5 linked regions of the Sus scrofa genome follow. The protein of the gene in region 3 purifies or fractionates together with the protein of the main gene of each other region. This does not show direct contact. Links are inferred from orthologs where the notes say so. Each region holds a gene or a part of one and is shown on either strand. Other genes may lie near its edges.

Region 1 (4,802 bases), about 8.6 Mb from region 3:
CATACCCTCACTGCCATAAAAGAATACTTCTATCAGCTACCGCTTACTGTGCACACACCGTGTGAGCGCACAACAACCCCGACACGCTAGTATTATTTCCTACAATCTGACAAATGAAAAGACTGAGGTCAAACCAGCAGCACAGCTGGGAAGCGAACCCAGGCAGCCACGCCTCAGCCCTCTGGTCCAGGGGCATCTATGAGATTAGTATGGCTGGACTACTCTTAGTGAATCCATGCTGGCTGTGGGTACACGGTTTCCTTTCCAAAATGCTCAGAAAGCATTTCTTTAGCAATACTTTCTAGCACCTTACACAGGTATAACATCAAGCTCCAAGCTCCACCAGCCTCTCTGGGGAATCTACCTTCTCTTACTCTGGAAAATTGGAAATATATTTGTTGGCCTTCCGATGCCCCCTCCTCATCGCCTTAATTCTTCAAAACAAACAAAAAATCGTGAACAAGTGTTTGGCCACTGATTTACTCTCAGTAAATAGTATTCACTCAAGCTCTGAGTCCCGGATGTATTTTGAGCAGGCAGTTTTAACCTCCTTTTAGGATTCAGCATCTGTTCCTTGGACATTAAATCCAGGGTTATGGACGAGCCGCATTTGTCTGAAGGTGCAGAGTGCATTTTATCGGAAGGCAGCTCTGGTCACATTCTCAAAGGAGAGCATGAACCAAGGATCTGTTCTTTCGCATTATACACAGATTCTCTTCAAAAAGGACCCCGCACCCCAGAGGAGGAGTGGACCTCCTCCCCTCCCTGTCAGCACCTCTGGTCCTTCTTTCTCCCCACGCTGCCCAGACTTTGAAGGGAGGGCTGGGAGGCAGCGTCTTCAGTCTGTTTGATAGGCCTGTGCCTCTGCTATGCTGTCTTAGTTTGGGGATCTACCTAATTGTGCTGCTTGGAGAGCTCTCTGTTCAGGGGCCTCTTTAACTGGCTCGCTCCTTCCCAGTCATCAGGAGCGGCTGAGATACAGAAGCCAAGACCGCTCCTCGCTGCTCTTTCTAGAGCTCATCCTCAGCATCCTACGGTTTTCAACATTTCCCTTTCTTGGGCAGAGAATACCGCCTGGCTGTGCCCAGTCTTCCCCTCTCTGGCTCCCGTGACCTGACAGGGTTGCTTCGCCCACAGTGATCCTGCCACCATCATTTTCTTCTTGGTGAGACTTTCATTCAAAGAAGCAGCTTAACTGAGATGAAATGATCGGCAAGGCCAGTGAGGGCTGTCAGACACCTCGAATCACACTTCCGGCATGTAATTTGCACATCCCCCTCGCCTCTTGGCCAGTTTTGCCATCTGTGCCAGGAGCTTGTCATCTGCGCCCTTCACCTGGTCAGGCGGCCTGGCTGCATTCTCTCAACACCACTGCCACTCCTCTGCCCTCGGCCTCCTGCTCCCGGTGTCCCACGCTCAGGCTTCTGGCTTTCCTGCCACCCGGGAGTATCCCTTCCCAACGTGTGCTGCTGCTCCACCTCCCTCCAGAACGAGTCTGCTGCTTTTGAATGGGGCACACCCCCCGTCAATAGATCCCGGTCACAAGTCCCACCAAGAGCAGTGACACCTAAGACGTCATATTTACCACTGCGTTATGATCCCCAATTCATTTCATTCTGCTTCATAATTAACATTCAAAGCTCTGAGGTCTTCCTGAGGCCTTCTGACATCCTCTCTAATAACCCCGAGGCACCTCTCGTGTTATCATCTCATTCCCATTCAATGGGAGACCCCAACAGCCAGGTCCCCAGGCTTTTGTTCTATTTTAAGGGTGTTCATTTGCCCTAAGGGATAAATTTTATTCAGAGACCAAGGCGTGTACTCATTATCTCAGTGACTCTTTATACAAAACTGGACCCTCACAAGAAAACTGGCCACTTCTTACTCTAACAGTGTTTGTGGTTTCTGAGCACAGTGGTCTGCAGGTTAGTGTATTATATTCTGATTATATAAAAAGTGCAGTTCAAAGTATTTGCTTGTGAGGTCAGATATTTTAAATAAGGGAATGTAACATGTAAAGGCTTGCTTTCATTGTGAAAAACACTAATAAAGATTACTGATTTACATACCTTAAACAGCACAGACCCCTGGCATTCAAAACCACAAATGTGTAGCTTGTACAGTGCTATCATATCATAGGTGTATTTAATTGATACAAACATACAACAGGGAGATCAGGTAGGCAGGGCAGGGAGGAACAGTGCCAGTGACTCTGCACCCCCCGCCCCTCCATGTGTAATAGATAAGCTCTGGCCTGAGCTTGACATGGGGGAGGTAAGGCCACTGGGCCCTGGGGCCTGGCCACAATACGGAAGTCTCTGTCCTGAATGTGGTTCTAGTATTTAAACATGTATACTCCAAAGTAACCCGGCCCTGAACAGAAAGGCCAACTACTCTGTCTGGCGTTTAACCAAAGAAACTGCCACAGCATATTCCAACACAGAAGAAAAATCTGATTTTTATATATACTGCATATCTGTATATTGTCCTTGATAAGAAATTTAACAGAACAGTGTACTTTTGACCATAGAGGACTTCTGTCTTTTAGACAGACTTTAGAATCTTAACTTTTCCAACCTTTTAAGCTGTGACTCTACTGCAAATACCCGAGTCACACGAACACATGTAAAATATATCTGCTCTCTCCCACTAGAGGGCAGCCGTGTACAGACTTGGAGGACAGAGGAGGTTTAGGAATAAAGTCTATAGTTAGAATTCTAGTTTCTGTTACCTTGAATGTGGCAAATGCATCTGAAGCTATGTCAAATGTTGACATTTCAACATATCTGAAGAAATCATAAAACTGTTCTGACCACAAAATGATTTTTGCAAGTGGTTCATGTCTGATGCACTCTCTTAACATTATCCCACAATTTAGAGCTATTTCTGGAGATTCATACCTGCAAAAAGAAAAGACAAACATAATTGCTTTTTCATTTTTAAAAAAGAAACTCTAACACGGAACGGTTCTGATTTTCAGAAAAGGAAGTTTCAGACGTGTCCTAAGTGGCCAGAGCAGGTGACAAAATGCATCTCTCTCAGAGCAGAATAGGTGCTCGGAGGGCTTTAATCAGAGGGCACACACAGGGCAGTTGGTGGTGGCTGCTTCAACCCAAGGAAAAGGAACAGTCGAGAGGGATCGTGTGAATAAAAGCTCCGGATTTAAGCTAAGAGAACTATTCAGGGTCAGACGTCCAAATCGGGTTTAGTTTTACACATGGTGCTCTCAACACTGCAGAAAAACTAACAGCTGAATCAAAATCAATAGGAAACAAAATAGTTTCCTAAACTCATAGTAGCTAAACAGGTCTATCTGATAGACCTATACATAAACAGCATTCATACTTTAAATATACATCACTGCATACCTCATTGTTTCAATTCAAGGCTCAAAATAGTACTTTCAAGATTCCTGGCAACACGCAAGCGCCGCGAAGCTGAAAGCCCAAGGCGAGGGCCCTCCCCACGCAGCCCTCCTCTGCGCCCACCTCTACGCTCTCGCCTCCTCCTCCCCTGGGATCACACCGAAAATCCTGTACTTCTTTCGGCCCAGAAACCCTCTCCGTCCGGATGCCCAAACCTCTTGGGCCGGACCCTGCCATTCTGCTCCAACGCGTCGCCCGGTGCCTCCACTTCCCTTCAAGCGCACGCACAGGTTTCGTCTCTCACCGTGTCGCCTCGTTTCCCGTCATCAGACTCCTTCCTACCATTCTACCAGTGAAGGAAGACCTCCTCGTGGCTAAAACAGTCGTGTCTCAGGACGGGAATCCTGCCACTCGGCCTCCGGACAATGCAGATCGCTGCCTCGCCCTCTTTAAAGAAAGAACCACTCTCCCCCGGCCCCACTTTCCCACTTGCTGGGTTCCCACGTCTTGCCTGGCTGAGGTCTCTCCTCTGCGGCCTCCACACGCCCTCGGGGTTCCCACCACAGCCCCCAGATGGCCCCTGCGCAGATCTCCCCTCAGCTGGAGCCGAGCATTTTCTGTTGCCGCTTCCGGGCACCTTCAGTTAAAGGCCTCCCGTAAACCTGCCGTGTCTAATTTGGCATCACTGTTTTGTTTCAGGTGCCTGGGTCTAAACAGGTCTAAGAGAACTTTCCTTGATAATGGAAATGTTCTGAATCTGTGCTGCCTACTAAGCACTTGGGACTTGGCTCGTGTGACTGAGGGACTGAATTTCAGAAGCTACTTAATCGAGTTTAAGATTAAATAACTGCGTGTTATTAGCAGGGTCTGGATTGGACAGCGCAGTTCTAACCCTTCGCCTCTTTATCCTCCATCTACTCCCCTCTTCCCACCTTCGGTGTCACCACTCCTTCTTAATACCGCTTTGAAATACCTCAGTTTCATTTCCTTTTATCTGTTCTCACTGCTGCATGAAGTCACATCTGGTCAAGCAAGTGCCCCCCAACCCGCCTCTTTGTTCTGTCTTAACACATTTACTTGAAGCACAAGTACAGCAATAACCTCTCCAGCTTAGGAGCTTCAAACAATTTCTTCTTGCTAATCAGACAGACAAACGTCTGGGCTTTAATGCCCAGGCCTCTGCGCATCCTACCTCCTCCTCTGGGTGGGCACCATCTCCCACTAGCCCGCAAAACACCCCGATTACCCCCTTATTGTTGCCAGTCACCGTGTCCATTCCTGCCTTGTACTTACTCTTTTTTTTTTTTGGCCTAAGCCACTTCTAACTATCTGGAGCCTCAATCCTAAATCCAACCATCGCTGTAACCAACCCTTGCCTTATTGGTTAAACCCACATTTTATCGCCTGAAATCCTACAGGAGTGTTACTTAGCATTAC
Region 2 (4,802 bases), on a different chromosome or scaffold from region 3:
GTGAAGCAGAAGGTGATTAATTACATATTTTATCTTACAGTATATTTACTGTATCATAAAAGATTCAGTGTAAGCCTTCTAAATGAAAAGAAGGCACATATTCCAACTATTTTCTTTAAATATTTGACAAATAGGATGAGGGATAGAAACTTAAAGCTTAAGAGCCACTTCCAACTTTAATAAAGATAAACCTACTCAAGTGAGAAGACATCAAACCGGGGGGACAGTGCGGGACAAAGAACCAGGAGGCTGGGTTCTAGACCCTAGCTCTGCCATTATTTAGTTGTGAGATGTTGAGCAAGTCGCCTAACTGGTCACATTTCATTCTCTGAGTAAGCATTTCCTGAGCTCTTAGATCTGTCCTAGATACCATTTTGCAGGCACAAATAACACAAGGAGAGTCTTAGTGATCTCCACTGTCAAACAGTAAGTTTGAACCCAAGCTGTTTTCCATGTTTTTTTTTTTCTTTTTTTGTCTTTTTGCTATTTTCTTGGGCCACTCCTGTGGCATATGGAGGTTCCCAGGCTAGGGGTTGAATCGGAGCTGTAGCCACCAGCCTACGCCAGAGCCACAGCAAAGCGGGATCCGAGCCACGTCTGCAACCTACACCACAGCTCACGGCAACGCCGGATCCTTACCCCACTGAGCAAGGGCACTGATCAAACCCGCAACCTCTTGGTTCCTTGTCAGATTCATTAACCACTGAGCCACGACGGGGACTCCTGTTTTTTTTTTTTTTTTTTCTCCTTCTTGTTGTTGTTTTGGCCACGCCCTCGGCATGTGGAAGTTTCTTGACCAGGGATCAAAGTCGAACCACAGCAGTGACAACACTGATTCTTAACCCACTGTGCCACAAAGGAACTCCTTTTTCCAGCTTAAACTCTATGATTACTTTTACAACTTGATGTAAAAAAAAAAAATTGATTTACACTCTAGGAAAACAGCTTGAGAGGCATGAACACAAATTCTTTGTTCACTTCCTTCTAAATATTAGACAATAAAGAACAAAAGACCTGTATAGTGTAGCTACATTGAAGAATTTGGCTCCCATCTAGATGGCAGTTTTACACTCTTAGGATGGATCATAAGACTCAGTCTCAGTATTGTAACCAAAGTACTATAGCGTATAACTCCCATGCTGACTGGATGCTAGGCAGATCCTAGGGTGTGAGTGTAATGTCAGGACAGTATGGCTAGGCACTAAATGGCATGTAAGACCCCTGTAAAGGAAGACTAGCTTCTTAATACTACTTATATTCTGGGGGTGCTCCACAAATAAATTTAGAGAACTATTAAGCCAGAAAAGTTTAAAAAACAGAATTAATATGTCTTAAATAGTCATGTGAATTTAGATAGATAACTTGATCAATGTTTTGTATATTTCACCTTTCTGGTGCCTAATATTTTTAAACCATATGACTTAAATTCATAAGGAGTATTTTACAAACTAAACAAAACTTGAATTAAAAAAATAACATTTAACAATCGCCAGATTCCAATTAATCATATCTCAAAATTAAGGGATCAAGTCTGAACCCCTAAAATATCAAAAATTTCAAAAAAGAATAATTTAAGAGGAGTCCCCTGGTGGCAGAGTGGGTTAAGGACCTGATGTTGTCACTACTGTGGCTTGGGTTTGATCTGTAGCCTGGGAACTTCTACATGCCGCCGTAGAGGTGGTCACAAAAAAAAAAAAAAAAAAAAAAAAGTAAGATAATACTGGTAATCAAATATCAGTATTTCTGGCTTGATAGAATACAAAACTAAATGGCTCCAAATGAATTCCAAATATGAAGAACTTGAGAACATACATGTGTATGTGTATGCCTGTGTGAGCACATTTATTTATTTACTTATTTATTTATGTTTCAGGTCTTTATTTTGTCCTATTCATATTCTGAAATTGCTTTAAACATGCATTTGTCTTATTCTCTATTATTAATTAACATTCAAAAGTAATGCACATAGAACAGACTATGGAAAGACAGGACATTGTAAGAGAAAAAAATGCCTGAAAAATACTGATATTGAGCACATATGGTATAATAAGGAGTTTTAGAGAATAAGTCAGCACACCTTGTTCCTTCAACTGGTTCTTGATTTTTTTTTTTTTTTTTTTTTTTTTGTCTTTTTGCTATTTCTTTGGGCCGCTCCCGTGGCATATGGAGGTTCCCAGCCTAGGGGTCCAATCGGAGCTGTAGCCACCAGCCTACGCCAGAGCCACAGCAACACGGGATCCAAGCCACATGTGCGATCTACACCGCAGCTCACAACAACGCCAGATTGTTAACCCACTGAGCAAGGGCAGGGACCGAACCCGCAACCTCATGGTTCCTAGTCGGGTTCGTTAACCACTGCGCCATGACGGGAACTCCAGGTTCTTGATTTTTTAAATATATAACTAATATTACAGTTGTCCCTGTTTTTATGAGATAATGAGATTACTATTTTCTGATAACTCATGTTGATAAGTCTAGTCCTTTTTTTCCCTAAAGCTTGTTTCCTATGGGAACTGACCTTGATCACTGAGTTTTTGCTAACCTTAATGCTCTTTAGGAGTATAAACACAAAGCTAACAAGAGAGCAATGACCCCATTTTTGGTGTACTGTGGGAGGGGAGATGAATTAATCAAGAATAGCTTCAATAATTGGAGTTCCCGTAGTGGTGCAGCAGAAACAAATCCGACTAGGAACCATGAGGTTGCGGGTTCAAGCCCTGGCCTCACTCAGTAGGTTAAGGATCCAGGGTTGCCATGAGCTGTAGTGTAGGTCGCAGACACGGCTCAGATCCAGCGTTGCTATGGCTGTGTTGTAGGCTGGCAGTACTAGCTCCATTTAGATCCCTAGCCTGGGAACCTCCATATGCTGTGGGTGCAGCTCTAACAAGCAAAGCAAAAAAAGAAAAAACGAAAAAAAAAAAAAAGAATAAAAAAAATAGCTTCAATAATAAACATATACTACTTTCATATTCTGGATTAGAATGTAAATAGAGCTTAAATTAAAAAACATGTAATGGATCAAATTTTTAAGGAAGAAATAAATTTTAAACTATACAACAAATGCTGATGAAAAATAGGACTCTATTGAATTTGGTGCAATAAATCTACTGCATTCATTGGTTTGCCTTAAGGTACTGGATATTGGAAATATTTAACTGGTTTTAAAGAATTTTTGATCTTATACATTATCACTCTTTATATAACTGTTTGAAATTCCAAAAAAAAAACCACCCCAAAACCAAAAACAAACAAAAAATTCCAAGGCTGAATTTTATCTTTCAATAGTATCAATTCTTTATCACAGCTATCTTCTTCTTCTTTTTTGTCTTTTTAGAGCAATACCCATGGCATATGGAGGTTCCCAGGCTAGGTAGAGGTCTAATCGGAGCTATAGCTGCTGACCTACACCACAGCCACAGAAATGCCAGATCCCAGATCCGAGCCTCGTCTGCTACCTACACCACAGTTCACGGCAACACTGGATCCTTAACCCACTAAGCAAGACCAGGGATCGAACCCGCAACCTCATGGTTCCTAGTTGGATACATTTCCATTGCACCATGACGGAAACTCCTATTACAGCTATCTTCTGATCACCCTCATAAACAGAAGGGATCATTCACAAGAAACAAAGACAAACTTAGTTTTTGCAATTTATTATTATTTAGTTTAAAGGGCAAGTTCAGTCACTAAATATAGATCTTTGCTGTTTGTCTGTTTAGGGCTTTAGGGTGGAAGAAGGGGCATTTAATGAATCTGTATTCCATGAGTACACCAAAAGGAAAGGATGTAGGATGATGGTGGTGGCAGAAAAAAATGCTGATGTAGTCATTTAACATAGTTAACCTGCCAAATAGCCAAAAATAGCCTGGCTAAATATTTTGTTCCAAAAACCTATTTAAGTATCAAAATTAAATTTAATTTAGATGAAAATTTAAGATAAAGAAATATTCTGAAACTAAAAAAGAGTTCTTGCATACTTGTGCAATTCTTTTTCTTGCCGCTGTAGTTCTGATGATAGCAAAACATTTTCCTTTCTTAGAGAACGGCATTCGGTTTCCAATACATTCCATTCCTTTCTCAACTTCTCTAGTTCACCTAAAGTAGTCCCAAAACACATCTGTTAATATAGGAACATAACTACTTTTTTCCCCCTTAATGTATATTTTATATGACCATTTTTCAATTCCTGTTACTTTGCAGTTATACCTCAGAGAAATTCCCAACACCTTGAACCTCAGTAATATTTTTTTCCCCACTTCACTTTGTAAAAAAAATTTTTATTGGAGTATAGTTGACTTACAATGTTGTGTCAGTTTCAGCGTACAGCAAAGTCAATCAGTTAATACATATATCTATAGTTTCTCAGATTCTTTTCTCATATAGGTTATTACAGAATATTGAGTATATTTTCTTCTTCTGTACTAGTAGGTCCTTGTTAGTTATCTATTCTATACATAGTAGTGTATATATATTAATCTCAAACTCCTAATTTATCCTTCCTTGTCACGTTTCCTCTTTGGTAACCGTAAGTTTGATTTTGAAATCTGTGAGTCTGCTTCTATTTTGTAAAAAAGTTCTTTTGTATCATTTTTTATTAGATTCCACATATAAACGATATCTATATGATATCTGCCTTTCTCTTTCTTCACTTAGTATGATTATCTCTAGGTCCATCCACCCACTTCACTTTTATAAGACAAATAATTTTTAATAGTATTTAGGTAAAAGGTATAATTAGAAAAATTTTCAATTTATTGTAGAGCTCATACACCTGAGGAATGTTTCTAGCCCCAATACAA
Region 3 (4,802 bases):
CCCACCTTGAAGTCATAGGCCGACTGCTTGATGACCTCGGGCGCCATCCAGAAGGGGGTGCCCACAAACGTGTTCCTCTTGATTTGCGTGTCCGTGAGCTGCCCCGCCACGCCGAAGTCCGCCAGCTTCACGTCGCCCTGCTCCGAGAGCAGCACATTGGCAGCTGCTCGACACAGGACAGCAGGGAGTCACCTCAGTGCCGCACGGCCCCACCTGGCCTCCTAAGCAGGGCTCTCCGCCCTCAGAGCCGTGGCAACGGGATAGTGGCAGGTGCCTGCAGCGTGAGCCCCCACCCCCGCCCCACAGGTGCCCCCGGGCACCCGTGTTCACCTCACAAGAAAAATCCCACGAACAGAGCCACTGCCCTTGCCCCGCAAAGGGCTCAAGAAGCAGAGGGAAGCCCGACTCTGCCCCTTGCTCGGCCGGCCACCTTCCATCAGCCCCTCGACCTCGCCCTCGGAGGTGGCCTGGCCCGTGCACACCAGCACAGCTGCTCTAACCACCCCTCACACTCAGATCCAAGATTGCAAGCCATCCAGTTTGGGCCTAAGTAGGGTCCCGCTTACACCAGGTGCCGAGCTGGCTTCCCAGGGAAAGCAAGTCCTATGCATTACTGGCAATGTCTTCTGGAAACAGAGCCAGATAGAGCTGCTCAGTTCCCAGGGCCACAGGGAGGACAGGCAGGGCGCCCTGAGCACCGCCAGTGACGCGCCCCACCCAGCGAACCGCCACTGCCCGCCCCGGAGGGACCTTTGATGTCTCGGTGGATCTTGCGCTCCGAGTGCAGGTAATCCAGGCCCCTCAGGATCTCCCGCAGGATCGTGGCGATGTAAGTCTCCTCCAGGGGCCCCGGCTTAAGCTGCAGACATGGAGGAGACAGCAGGGCCTCGGGCTTCCCGCCACCCCAGACCCAGGGCCCAGGCCTGGCTCAGCCTCCTCTCCAGCAGGGGTGGGCTGAGCCTGTGGGTGGGAGGGACTTCCTATTTCTGGGGCCACTTTTGAAATCAGAGCTTCGGGTGCCAGGTCAGATGGGTGTGGAGCAGGCTGTTTTTTGAGAACAGACACCACCTTGGCCTGGGCTGTAAAGGTAACGGCTGAGGAGGAGGGCCCAGGCATGGCCCTGCGCCCCCCCCGGGGGGAAGGACTGTGGGCAGCAGCAGCACGTCTGGCTTAGCCAGGTCCTGATGAACCTCCAACACACAAGGCCAACGAGAGGCGGCCACAGGCCCGCCAAAGCCAAGCCCCCAGACAACGTCCTCAGTCCGTGCCCAGCCCTGCGGCCGCCCACTGTCGTGGCCCGCGCCTCACCAGGTCCAAGGCAGAGCCGCCGCCCAGGTACTCCATGATGATCCACAGCTTCGTGCCCTGGGCCAGAGAAGCGCCGGTCAGCACGTGGCAGCAAACACGGGACAGGCCAGGTGCACCACCCCGCCGCCCGAGAACCCCAGGAATGGGCCCCCGCAGCCTCGCCTGGCTCCCCTCTCGTCACAGCACGGCAGACACTGCAGTCAAACCACGCTCACCACCCGCCAACAAGCAGGCGGGGAAGGAGCGCGGCGGGCACGCCTCCCGGCACCTGCACACCAAGCCCCCGGGGAAGGGCTCCGGGCTCCAGCTGCGGGGCCCCGAGTGCGCCCAGCAGGCCTGGGGCCATCCTCCATCCTTGCCGCAGGAGGCGGCACAGCCAGCCCAGCCGGGACCTGCCGCCGCCCCACCCGCGCTCCCCCTCAGGGCACACGCGGCCCTGGCGGCTGTCATTTCTTGGAGGCCCAGCTCTGCCGCCCTCGCCTGTGGGGACCGCTCGCCCTTCCGACCAGGCCCAGGGGAGGGCAGACGGGCGGGCGCCCGAAGCACCCCCCGCCCAGGCACCTTCAGGTAGGAGCCGAAGTAGCGCGTGATGTAGGGGCTGTCGCACTGGCTGAGCACCGTGATCTCCTGCTGGATGTCCTCGATCTCGTCCTCGGCCTCCTCCAGGTCGATGGTCTTGATGGCCACCACCTCCTTGGTGCGGTTGTCGATGCCCTTGTACACCTCGCCGAACGAGCCCTTGCCGATGCGGTCGAGCTTGGTGAAGAGCTCCTCGGGGTCCACGCGGGGGTGCTGGGGACACGGGGCGGGCCGCGCTGACCCCGAGCGCCGGGAGCTCACGCGGCTTCCTGCCTTCCTTCTTTGATCCCTTTCCATTGAGAAACCCGAAGCCAAAGGCAAAACCCCCCCCGAGGGTGTGGGGGGGCCCGGCTCTGGCCAAGAGTCCGGGCCATGGGGCAGCCAGAGGGGCCACGCAGGCCACGCCGGACCCGCCCACACCCCACGCGTGGGGAGGACCCGGTGCCCCCCAGGAACGGGTTCAGAGGGAGGAGTCGGGGGAACACCGGGACCTGGACGGTGCTGGCACCACCCAGGGCGAGCCTCGCAGGCTGCAGACTTGGTCACAGCACGTCCACGCTTGTCACCCACTGTAACAAACCCCCGGGGGAGGGGCGATGGACAGGTGGAACCAGCTCACTCATTTCCCTTTAAACCTACAACGGCTCTGAAAAATAAAGGCTATCAATTAAACAACACCAACTGAGTCCTCCCTGTGCACCTGGAAGCCACACCCCTCAGAGGCCCCTCCAAGCCCCCAGTCAGTCCTGGGGACGGCCACCCCCGCACACCAGGACCCTGAGCTAAGAAATGACTCCTTGATGGGCGATCCTAGGTGTTGGCCTTTATGGAAAACTGCGCCCCTGGTCCTCAGGGCTGAGCCGTGGGTGCAGGGGGCCTGGCAAGACGCAGGACGGTCCCACAGGGGACAAGCCCGCTTTTGACCTTGACCCTCAGTGGGTCGGGGCTGAGACAGCGCAACTCGGGGGCTGCGTGGAAGACACCAGAGCCTCTAGGGCCACCCTTGGTGTTCCCCAGCCCCACCCAAGTGGCCCCCTGAGGGCACCTCACCCCCTCCGCCAGGCTACTGGCCATGTTCTCAGAGGCCCAGCAGTGGCCCAGGGGCTGGAGCCCAGGGACCTGCATGGGGTTGGAGCCCCAGGCAGGGCCTGTGAAGGGTGGGCGGGGAGCCTGGCGTCCAGTCCCGATGGGGGCAGAAAGGGCTCTCTAAGCCCTGCAGGCCTCACACCCAACAGGACACACCTCCCTCCAGAGAGGCTGCCCCCACGCCTCAGCAGTGTCACCGGACGTGTCTTGGCGACCACCTGAAGTGGCCAGAAGCAAAAAGGCCAAATCACAACTGGCTTTGCTGTGGAAGCACCGACCGCTCTGGAGCCAAGGGGGCCCAGCCCTGGGCAGCGCACTGACCTCGGCACGGCCAGCCCTTGGGCTCAGCCCCAGGCGGGCTCCGGACAGAGGCGGCACACATCCCACGTGCCAACAGCTGCCTCCCCAGGTCTGGAAACAGAGGGGCCACGTGAGCCCAAAGAGGGCCTCGTAGGGGGAGCCAGCGGGGCCAGGCGAGCAGGGAGGGCCGAGGGCCAGGCCCCGGCATGGTGGGCCGGCCTCCATGAGGTGGCCAGAGCCAAGGTGCCCACTCGCACCTCCCCCGCGGAAGCTGCAGCCAGTGCAGCACAGGGCCAGGTGGCTGCCACCTGGGTTCCTCAGGCCACCCGTGAGGACACTTTCTCCCCCTGCTACGCATATTCTGAAAGTCCCAGCTGCTCAGCTGTCTTTGGGGTGGGGACCTCGAGATCAGAGCCCCGCCCTGAGTGGCCAGCCTCAAGGACTCTGCGAGCCTGTCACCAGCATGAAGACTCACCAGCATGAAGACGGCCTCCCACAGAGACCAGGAAACAGCCCCCGCCCGCTTGCACCCCCCCAAACCCCTGGGCACTGGGCCCAAATGCCACCTGGCCCAGTGCCCCCACGTCCCCTTCACTAGGCCCCTGAGCACCCAGCTAAGTGCTGGCCTGCAGGGCCTCCACCCCCAGCTCATCCAGCCAGGGCTCCTAGAAACGGTGCCTCTACTTCCAAGGGGGCCTCAGAGGGGACCTGGAGGAGGTGGGACCGAGGCCGGGCAGCACTGTTCCTCGGGCTTTCCGGGTTCCCCTCCCACCCTCAGGCCTCCCTCTTCTCACTGCAGCCTGCACTCTCCACCCCAACGGCTTGACGAGAGGCACACCCAGCTGGGTGCCCAGACCTCCACGGCTCCTGAGGGAACTGGGCAGACCCCTGGACCAGGGGCTCCAGACTCAGCAGTGGGGGGAGCTCTGGTCCCAACGTCACACTTTTTGGGTCCCCACTGCTGTGGGTCAGTCTCCTGAGCAGACAGCATGACGGGAGCGCTCCTGGCTGTGACCCTGACCCTACAGGCACATCACAGGGACACCTGCGGCCAGAGCTGGTGGAAGGAAGGAAGGACAACTGCTCCCGAGCTGGCCTTGCACTCCCCTTCCAGAGACGGGCGTGGTTCAGACAAGGGCTCAGGCTGCTGGCAGTCCAGACCCTTGTCCTCTGGTCAGCCCTGGGCATGCGAGGTCAGTGGCCACTACCAGGCAGTATGTCTGCTGGTCATATCGCCCCACAAAATGAGGGGTGCCCAACGGCCCCCAACCACCCCACGATGGGTGGCAGCCAATGAGCTTCCTGCAGCCAGCCAGACCCTGCGGGCAGGGTAGGAACAAGGAACCAGCCGGGCAGAGGCCAGGAGTGGAGGGCCCCCTGCGGGCCGTGGGGGAGCTCACCGCACTGCCCCACACAGGGACCGCCTCGCAGGGCCACAGTGACAACCCTCGCAAGAGAAAACAATGTCCTGTCAGGCTTCCTGCCACTGACAAAGGCCAAGTCTCTCCGCCCCAGAGGACAAAAGGGGC
Region 4 (4,802 bases), on a different chromosome or scaffold from region 3:
ATGTGACTCTTTGAAGAAAGGCATGGGCATTTCTATTTTCTAGTGGCTTTCAAAACTTTCACTTTTTTTTTTTGTCTTTTGTCTTTTTAGGGATGCACCCGTGGCACATGGAGGTTCCCAGACTAGGGGTCTATTCGGAGCTGTAGCTGCCAGCCTATACCACAGCAATGCCAGATCCCAGCCACATCTGCAGTCTGCACCACAGCTCGCAGCAAAGCCAGATCCTTAACCCGCTGAGCCAGGCCAGGGATCGAACTTGCAGCATCATGGTTCCTAGTCGGATTCGTTTCCCCTGTGCCATGATGGGAACTCCAAAACGTTCACTGTTTTTTAAAGAATTTGTTACTCACATCATTAGTAAGTACTAAACTGAGCCTGATGCTTTCAATGCAGAAGAAACAGGACAGAGCATATTGTAATGTTGTGGCCAGACATATTCAGACATTAACTTTTAGTTCATAGAAAGTAATTGTTATTGGATTATGAACTTCTTATCCTGTAAAATAGATCCATGAAGACTCTTGACTGAGAAGGAAAAAAGGCTGTCAGGATTGTGACAGGACCATCTAGTTACATGTTGAGTCTATTCCTAGTTTTGTGTGAGTGTCCAATTGAACTAGATCTCCTTGTTGATGGGTACTGGGTTGTTGTCATTTCTAGATACAATTTATGATGAAGATGAAGTACTCTTAGCTCTTGCTGAGCAGCTGGGAAATTTCACTGGCCTGGTCGGAGGTCCTGACTTTGCCCACTGTTTGCTGGTGAGTATATTCTGTCTACTGCCTTTCTAGAACTTTTGCAGTATAAATGATACATTGGCGATAGGCACACTGCAACATTTTTTATGCAGATCTTTTTATGGATAGTCAGTGTTAGCTATTGAGAGCCAGTTATGTAGGCACTTTGGATTCAGTTAACTCTTATTTTTTTCTGACTATGAATATAAGAACTTCTTCCTCTTTTCTGCCTCTAGACTTATTTGTTATTAGAGATTGGGAGAAAAAGAATTTGATTGTTTTTGTTTATGTTTTTTTCTCCCTGATATTAGAAATCTTAATTCTCATCTAGTAATATTATGGCTTTGGAAACATTCATTAGTTTTGTCCTTAACTGTAAGCGTAACTTTTGCTTCTGACTTAACTGTGAATTTGATGAGTTCAGTTTAATGTAGTTGACAGTTGAGAACCTATCATATCAGGCACTGAAGTTATAGCATTAAATGGTAAAGAAGAACGCTGAATGGAAAGAAGTCTCTGTCCTTATGTGTCAACAAATAATTACTGTGCGGTATTAGATGGAAAAATTTGAAACACATACAAGGTACCCAAGTAATAGAAAAGAGAAAGGGATTAACCGGGGGTGATCAGGGAAGACCTTTTGGGAGAGAATGTCTGAATTAGGTTTTGAAGGATGTCTAGGAATTTGACAGTTGGACAGGCTAGGGATCTATATGTCAGTGCTTAATTGTTTTCTGTATTATATTGCTGACTCTTGTGGGTTTTGTCTCTGCCTCTGACCTCTCCATGGAACTCCAGATAGACATAGAGAAAGACAGATATAGATCTATGTTTATCTCCTTATATATCTGTGTATGACTTCTCCAGCTGGATGTCAAATAGACATTTCCAATTTAATTTATCTAAAACAGAACTCAGTTTTCTCCCCCAATATGCCTCCTAATTGTTGCCTCATGGCAGTAAATGGCATCACCATCTACCTAGTTGGACAAACTAAAGCCTAGAAGACATTCTTGAATTCTCTCTCTCTCATTTCCCACATCTAAATCCATTAGTAACTCCTGTAGATTCTATATGTATTACGTATCAATCCATTTTCCTCCATCCCTACCACTGCCTAGCTCATCATTCCTCTAATCTTTCCAGACGACATCATCTTTCCTCTAGGTTACTGCAGTAACTCTCTAACTAGTTGCCTTCCACTCATGCCTCCCATCCATCACTACAGTGCACTCTTCACCTAGCAGGTGGATCACTCACTTCCTGCCATGGTTTTCAGAAAGTCCAAATTTCTGTCTTAACTTGTACCTTAGCTTACAAAATTTGCCTCTATGAGCTTATATCATGTTTCCTCTAGATATCCTCATTCCATTCACAATGGTCTGCTTTCTGTTCTTGGAATAAACCAAGTTTATTACTTTAATATTTTTGCTGTAGGTGTTCTCTCTAGTAAAATATTCCTTTGAGCTTCCTGTGGCTGGCTCCTAGTCTTTCAGATATCAATTTTAATGCATCTCAGAGAGGCCTTTCCTGACCACTTAACCTGAAATTGCCTCCCGGTCACCCCTTATCATATCATCCTCTTCTGTTTCTTTACAGGTAACTCCAATACCATATAATTCTTTTTCTTTCTTTTTCTTTTTTTTTTTTTTTTTGGTCTTTTTTTCCTCCCCTTTTCTAGGGCTGCTTCCCATGGCATATGGAGGTTCCCAGGCTAGGGGTCAAATTGGAGCTGTAGCCGCTGGCTTACACCACAGCCACAGGAATGCCACATCTGAGCCGCATCTGTGACCTACACCACAGCTCATGGCAGTGCCGGATCCTTAACCCACTGAGCAAGGCCAGGGATCGAACCCACAACCCCATGGTTCCTAGTCGGATTCGTTACCCACTGCGCCATGATGGGAACTCCTATCATTATTTTTCTTGATTTTTCTTCCTTCATTAGAATGTAAACCCCACTAGAGCAAGGAGATTGGGTCCTTGTTTCTTCTCTGTCCTCTGTGCTAGAATACAACAATAATTATCATTTCAAAAGATGGAGTTTAAGAGCCTTGGAAGCATGGAACCACTTGGGTTGTGGGAATATGAAGTGTTGGTGCTGGAGTAGGTGGAAATGGTGGGTGATTGGGGGCCATAGGAAAAAGGCATGGGGAAATAGAATTCAAATCAAGAAACAAAACTTGCATGTGATTCTCAGGAGCTTGCCCTTATCCTGATGTAGTGATAGAGATTATCCAATGGTATTGCATGAGAGGAGGTCAGAGAAGGCAGGGGAGAGATCATGATAGGCGTTTGCAAGTAAGCAAGCAATGTCTTTTCAAAGGGCTTCTGAAATACCTCTTAGGAAAGCTGACTACTTTCTACCTCTGTGTGTCACATAATTTTTGAAATATATTATTATTCGTGCTTCTTTCATTTGGCTCATACTTCTGTTTCACTCTCTTGGTCAGTTCTACGTGTGGGTTTTGTCTTTAACATTTGCACCTTGTGGCGAATGTGGAATCTACCTGTACCAAGTGCAAACCCAGAAAGGCAAAGGTTCAGAGAACCAGCCTGCTGTTGCTTTTCACTGGACCAGGTCATTCACTCTCTGATCCTAGTCCAGACCACCCCTTTGGTCTCTTTCATTTCTAAAGCTGCAAGCAAGGTTTCCTGCTGTCTCTGTACTCTTCATTTAATTGTTCTTTCAGCAACTCCCACTCTGTCTAGCTCATGAAAAGATTCTGAATATATTCTGAAAAAAGTGATTTTGTACTCAGCCCTTTATAGCTTGGATAAGTTGATTGTGTGGAGCTGGTGGACAAGGGTAGCTTCCGCCTCCAGGAATGGTGGAGTCATACTCCAAAGCTGTGGGCGCAGTGTCCTGGCGAGATGTCATCATGTGATTGTGGTGCCCAGTGTGGGTCATGGTTTTGCACTTACTCTTGGGGAAGTATACACGATCCTGTCTGAATTTGGATACGTATCTTTTAAATCTAATGATTCAGCTCACAGTAACATTAATATTGTGTCAAGTTTCTTCCACTGTGTCATTTGTAGACACCATCTGGGAATTGCCATCTGGGACACGAGATCTTGGCTGTCCTACAGAAGTCGTGTCTTCAGGTTGGACACACCATATGTTATCACTGTGTGAACTGAAAGTAACCATTTGGTGTGATGTAGCTAACATTCTGGTTACATGTACCACCTCCCTTCAGTCACTTTAAAGCTGATAATCTGTACCTAACCTGATTTAATACGTTTTCTTCTCTGGTTTTTCGTTTTGGTCTATTCAGCCTCCTCTGGAAAGTCTGGCGACCGTGGAAGAAACTGTGGTTCGGGACAAAGCCGTGGAGTCCCTGCGGCAGATCTCCCAGGAGCACACTCCTGTCGCTCTGGAAGCTCACTTTGTACCTCTGGTGAAACGCCTGGCGAGTGGGGATTGGTTCACTTCTCGCACATCTGCATGTGGTTTGTTCAGCGTTTGCTATCCCAGGGCTTCCAATGCTGTCAAAGCAGAAATTAGACAGTAAGATATGGTGTTTTTTGTTACTTGGGGCTATTGGGAGCTCATAGCTGACAAGTTCCATAGCACCCTGTTAACAGTGTGTGGCTGATATCAGGGTAGATGGATTGATGACATCACTTTTTGTTTGTACCAGTGGGTTTTTCTTTACTTCTATGAGTAGAGGCCTAATCCCTGATGTTTGTAAGAGAAGACTAAAATTTCTCTCTGTGTTAGGGGATCAGTGGCATTTGACAGGAAATACCTTCATTATTTTATTTGCTGCAGGCACTTCCGTTCCTTATGCTCAGATGATACACCAATGGTACGACGTGCTGCTGCTTCCAAATTGGGTGAATTCGCGAAAGTTTTGGAGTTGGACAGTGTGAAAAGTGAAATTGTGCCATTGTTCACTAATCTAGCTTCAGATGAACAGGTAGGTTAACTCTTAGTAATTAAAAGAGCAATAGGAGCTCCTGTCATGGTTCAGTGGTTAGTGAACCCGACTAGCATCCATGAGAATACAGGTTTGATCCCTGGCCTCATTCAGTGGGTTAAGGATCCAGTGTTGCCAT
Region 5 (4,802 bases), on a different chromosome or scaffold from region 3:
TAACGTTGTCTTATAGGTCACGGAAGTGCCTTCACTTTTTCAGTCATTTTTTTCTCTGTTCCACAAACTGGATATTTTCTTTTGTTTTATTTCAAATTCTTCTTTTTTCCCCCTTCTCTTAGCACATTCAGTGAACTTTTAAAAAGTTTTTAGATACTATACTTTTCAGTTCTAGATTTTCCATTTGTTTCTAGTTCTGTGCAGTCACTGTGACTGTATTTTCTTTGAAAAGAGGGGCTTTAAGGTCCTTGTCTGATAATACCAGTATAGGTCATCATTCTTCTTTCTTTATTTATTTTTTTGCACCACAGCATGTGGAAGTTCCCAGGCCAGGGACTGAACCGCGCCATAACAGCAACCCAAGCCACTGCAGTGAACACACCAGACGTTTAACCTGCTGAGCCAAGTCTCAGAGGTGACAGGCGATAATGAAGTTAATTGCTGAAGAAAGTCTGAACTTAAGCAGATGGAAACCTCTTCTCTTAGAGTGACGGGAAGGACGTATGGGTTGGTATGACTATAAAAAAGCCTAAGGGGGCAGACAGGATGCAAAGGGAGAGAGTTGTTCTGAATTTTCTTGATAAGAGTCTAGTAGGGTAGACTGAGAGTGACTTGAGTGGTGACTGGGCGAAGTATTGGGGAGAGTGGCAGAGGCTTAAATATCCCCTGAAGGAGCAAATGGTGGAGGAAACCAAACAGAGTTAGGGAGAATGATTGATGACTGGGGCTCAGAGCTCGGTTGGGTTTGGAGTCACGTGATGTAGGTGCATCAATTATTGTGATTTCCTCTGTGCTCTGCTATCTGCAGTGAGATTAAAAAGACTCGTGTTAGTCTGAGACAGGATTTATAAGGCATGAGTGATGGAAGAACAAAGATACAGGAAACGTATGGGTGCTTTTATAGGAGTATAGTTTTCTGTATGAGATTCTGGGTTTAGTTGAGTTGATATCCTTTCGGAAGTCCTTTAATTTGACCCTGAAGTGTAAGATGAAAGTTAGCATTTCATAAATAAAGTGTGACGACCCATAGGGAAGAACTGCTGTGGGCAGCACATGTGATGCGGTGAGAAAAACTTGAGGCAAGCAGAGCCCTAAATGAGTGCCAGGATCCTGACACTGATTAACTGGATGACATCAGGGAAATCACTAACCTGGCCTTTAGTTAGTTGTTTTGTAAAATGCAAGTAGCCCTTAAATTCTGCAACAACTTTTTCCCACCTTCACGGGTAAATTATGAAAATCATATTTTAAAAATAAGCTGAAAGTTAATTTGTGCTTTTTCCTAGGTTGCTATAAGAACTTGGAGGGGGTAATACAAAACATGTTCAATATTTTCTTAATAGAACTTTCTGTCTGCCTTCCAAACAACCTATTATTTGATGCATTTAGAAGAGTTAAATAGGCTTCAACTCTTAAGTCCAATTTTCTGTGAGGTGTCCAAGTGAATAAAATATAAATCTAGTATAGAATAGCAGAATTGTTCCCCAAATCTTACCTAATCTACTTATGAAGTCACCCACCAAATTTCATATAGTAGATTAGGGGTGGAAGCCTTACTGTGAAGGTGACATTTGAGCAAAGACGTGAAGGAGCCAGGCGCCTGTGCTGTTGGGTATTTTTGTGCATATTAGAAAACCCCATGTGAAGTTATTAAGAGTTTTTTTTTTTTTTTTTTAAGTTCCTTCCCTATGTTAATCAATTAGGCAAATACTGCCTTTGAAAGCCTAAATCCTAGGGGCCTGTACCATGGTGAGCCTTTTTGTGAAGGAAAAGGTGCCCTTGTTTTCAGGCAGATGCAGCCCCAGGCCTGGGCAGACAGCGTGGGGAGTAGACAGGGTTGGGCTAACCCACTCCTAACCCTCTCAACCCCACAGCCAGTCACCTTCATGCAGTGCGCAAACCGCTTCATGCAGGAGCCCTATGTGACAGGTCGTGGTGGCATTTCTAGGCGGAGAGAGTAGCAGGATCCAAGACTCTGAGGCAGGGTGATGTTAAAGAAACGCCAGGAAGACCGTGTCCTGGGAGCTGAGTGAGTAAGTGGGATGGAAGGGAGGAGATGAGGTAAGACGTGGGGGTTCACTGATACTGATTATATTTTTTATAAGACATTTCTTATATATAAGTTCAAAGAAGTTTCACATATGCTTTTACATGATTTTTATAGCAACTTACCATAAACTCAAAGAAGATTTCTTGAAAAGCTAAGTAATAAGTACAGTTTAAACTTTAACCGAAATCTTCTGTTTTCATTATATAGTATCTCAGAGTAATAATTTTAAGGCATTAATCCTTAAAAAAAAAAAAAAAAAAAAAAAAAGCCCACACCAGTTCCCTAATAGAGTTCTGTTTTTACAAAAGCAGACCTTTCTGAACTCTTTTGTTGTGATTTGAACCATCAGATTACTGTTCTTTTATGTGGTTAACTTTAATACATTAGAAAATTCTCTGTTGCTGTAGATGTTTTTCATAAAACCACTTAACGTCTATTTTCTCATTTTAATGAGCCTCTACAATGTCTGTCATATCACAACACATTTCAGAAATGTGGCAGTTTAGGTAACCCAAACCACGTAATTATTTAAAAATTAAGGAAAATCTCTCCACTTCTTGGGCAAAAAAAAAGCTTCTGCCTGCTAATCAGAGCTGTCCTGTGAATTTCTTTCAGCTGGAGATGGAAAAGCTTCAGCTCCAAGCCCTTGAACAAGAGCACAAGAAGCTGGCCGCCCGCCTGGAGGAGGAGCGAGGCAAAAACAAGCATGTGGTCCTGATGCTGGTCAAGGAGTGCAAGCAGCTCTCAGGCAGAGTCATAGAGGAGGCCCAGAAGCTGGAAGAGGTGATGGCCAAACTGGAAGAGGAGAAGAAAAAGATGAGTGTGTTAGAAGAGGAACTCTCTGCCGAGAAACAAAGAAGCACAGAAATGGAAGCTCAGATGGAAAAACAGCTCTCAGAGTTTGACACGGAGCGGGAACAGCTTCGTGCCAAGCTGCACCGAGAGGAAGCACACACCACTGACCTCAAAGAGGAGATAGACAAGATGAAGAAGATGATTGAGCAACTAAAAAGGGGAAATGACAGCAAACCCAGCCTCTCTCTTCCCCGGAAGACCAAAGATAGACGTCTGGTCTCCATATCTGTGGGAACAGAAGGACCGATGACAAGATCTGTTGCTTGCCAGACAGACCTAGTAACAGAAAATGCTGACCCCTTGAAGAAGCTGCCTTTGACGGTGCCTGTAAAGCCTGCCGCGGGGAGCCCCTTAGTTTCCGCAAATGCTAAAGGGAATGTGTCCGCAGGTGCCGCCCTGGTCAGACCAGGTATCGACAGGCAGGCTTCCCATGGTGACTTGATTGGCTCTTCTCTGCCTGTGGCCCCACCTCCAAGTACAACCAGAATTGAGGAAAATGGACCGAGCACTGGCTCAACATCAGATTTAGCAAGTAACCCATCCCCACTCCCCAGTAACGCCGCCCCACCCACTGTGCACACGCCAGGCCCAGCTCCCCAGGGTTGCTCACCAGCCCAGCCTCCACACAGTTTACATTCCCCGTGTGCCGGTGCGCCTCTGCATCCAGGTCTGAACCCGCGCATCCAGGCGGCGCGATTTAGATTTCAGGGTAATGCTAATGACCCAGACCAGAATGGGAACACAACCCAAAGCCCTCCGTCCAGAGATGTCTCTCCTACAAGTCGTGACAACGTAGTGGCCAAACAGCTAGCTCGGAATACCGTGACCCAAGCACTATCAAGATTTACAAGCCCTCCAGCGGGAGCTCCCCCAAGGCCTGGAGCACCCCCCACGGGGGACGCTGGCACCTACCCCCTGGTTGGTCGGACCAGTTTAAAGACTTCTGGTGTAGGACGAGTTGACAGAGGAAACCCGCCTCCCATCCCTCCAAAAAAGCCAGGGCTCTCCCAAACTCCTTCTCCACCACACCCCCAGCTCAAGGTTATCATGGATAGCAGCAGGGCCCCCAGTGCAGGGGCCAAGGTTGATAACAAAACTGTGGCTTCGCCTCCTTCCACTTTGCCACAAGGGATCAGGGTAATAAATGAGGAGAACCTCCCTAAATCTTCCTCCCCTCAGCTGCCACCAAAACCATCCATAGATTTAACTGTGGCACCTGCAGGCTGTGCCGTTTCAGCCCTGGCCACGTCTCAGGTGGGTGCCTGGCCTGCTGAAACCCCTGGACTGAACCAACCTGCATGTTCAGAAAGTTCCCTTGTCATTCCCACCACCATTGCCTTTTGCTCTTCCATAAACCCAATTAGTGCCTCATCCTGTAGAGCAGGTGCCTCAGACAGCCTCCTGGTAACAGCATCAGGTAAAGGGATTGGAATATTGTACCCTTCTTTAAGAATGTGGCCTGTCCTCCTATCCTCTCACTTGCCTCCTTTCCTTCACATCGCATTGAAACTTTTTTTTTTTTAATTTGGTACTTTTTTCCCCCTATTTCTTTCTTCTCTTTTTTTGTGTCTTTCTTTAAAGGCTCCAGGGTATGGTGATTCATCTTGCTATAAGAATTGTGGTTTTGTTAATCTAAGTGCTTTCTTCTTTTAAAATAACCTAAAAGTAGTGGTTTGGAGCACATGGAGACCATTAATTTAGAGAGCCTGAAAGGAGGAAAGGCTCTTCCTTCTTATTAAATATTTATCTCCCAAGACTTCACTATGAGTGAGCCATCACCCGACAGTATGTGTTCAGTTCTGTCCCTTTTGAGATGACATTTGAAAGGAGGCTTTCAAGTAGTTATTAATATTATGGTCTACCTTAGATTATAACATTGATTGGATGTGTTCTGTAA

What was found.
Region 1: the proteins of STK25 (region 3) and CAB39 purify together in Homo sapiens (co-immunoprecipitation; 3 studies listed by BioGRID and IntAct, counting the BioPlex papers as one, with this or other methods). This does not show direct contact. The link is inferred for Sus scrofa from reciprocal best matches to the Homo sapiens genes STK25 and CAB39.
Region 2: the proteins of STK25 (region 3) and SLMAP purify together in Homo sapiens (affinity purification with mass spectrometry; 5 studies listed by BioGRID and IntAct, with this or other methods). This does not show direct contact. The link is inferred for Sus scrofa from reciprocal best matches to the Homo sapiens genes STK25 and SLMAP.
Region 4: the proteins of STK25 (region 3) and PPP2R1B purify together in Homo sapiens (affinity purification with mass spectrometry; 3 studies listed by BioGRID and IntAct, with this or other methods). This does not show direct contact. The link is inferred for Sus scrofa from reciprocal best matches to the Homo sapiens genes STK25 and PPP2R1B.
Region 5: the proteins of STK25 (region 3) and CTTNBP2 purify together in Homo sapiens (affinity purification with mass spectrometry; 3 studies listed by BioGRID and IntAct, with this or other methods). This does not show direct contact. The link is inferred for Sus scrofa from reciprocal best matches to the Homo sapiens genes STK25 and CTTNBP2.

The regions. Positions count from the first base shown.
Region 1 is NC_010457.5:131,564,942-131,569,743, reverse strand, and holds part of CAB39 (calcium-binding protein 39), read right to left. Parts: intron 2,901-4,802; coding exon 2,732-2,900; intron 1-2,731. UniProt on the Homo sapiens protein: Component of a complex that binds and activates STK11/LKB1. In the complex, required to stabilize the interaction between CAB39/MO25 (CAB39/MO25alpha or CAB39L/MO25beta) and STK11/LKB1.
Region 2 is NC_010455.5:39,704,828-39,709,629, reverse strand, and holds part of SLMAP (sarcolemmal membrane-associated protein), read right to left. Parts: intron 4,099-4,802; coding exon 3,981-4,098; intron 1-3,980. UniProt on the Homo sapiens protein: Associates with the striatin-interacting phosphatase and kinase (STRIPAK) core complex, forming the extended (SIKE1:SLMAP)STRIPAK complex.
Region 3 is NC_010457.5:140,147,426-140,152,227, forward strand, and holds part of STK25 (serine/threonine-protein kinase 25), read right to left. Parts: 5' UTR 2,185-4,802; coding exon 1,870-2,184; intron 1,366-1,869; coding exon 1,309-1,365; intron 860-1,308; coding exon 751-859; intron 164-750; coding exon 6-163; intron 1-5. UniProt on the Homo sapiens protein: Oxidant stress-activated serine/threonine kinase that may play a role in the response to environmental stress.
Region 4 is NC_010451.4:39,511,605-39,516,406, reverse strand, and holds part of PPP2R1B (serine/threonine-protein phosphatase 2A 65 kDa regulatory subunit A beta isoform), read left to right. Parts: intron 1-660; coding exon 661-761; intron 762-4,018; coding exon 4,019-4,251; intron 4,252-4,515; coding exon 4,516-4,663; intron 4,664-4,802. UniProt on the Homo sapiens protein: The PR65 subunit of protein phosphatase 2A serves as a scaffolding molecule to coordinate the assembly of the catalytic subunit and a variable regulatory B subunit.
Region 5 is NC_010460.4:28,493,080-28,497,881, forward strand, and holds part of CTTNBP2 (cortactin-binding protein 2), read left to right. Parts: exon of another isoform or gene 1-2,033; intron 2,034-2,665; coding exon 2,666-4,322; intron 4,323-4,802. UniProt on the Homo sapiens protein: Regulates the dendritic spine distribution of CTTN/cortactin in hippocampal neurons, and thus controls dendritic spinogenesis and dendritic spine maintenance.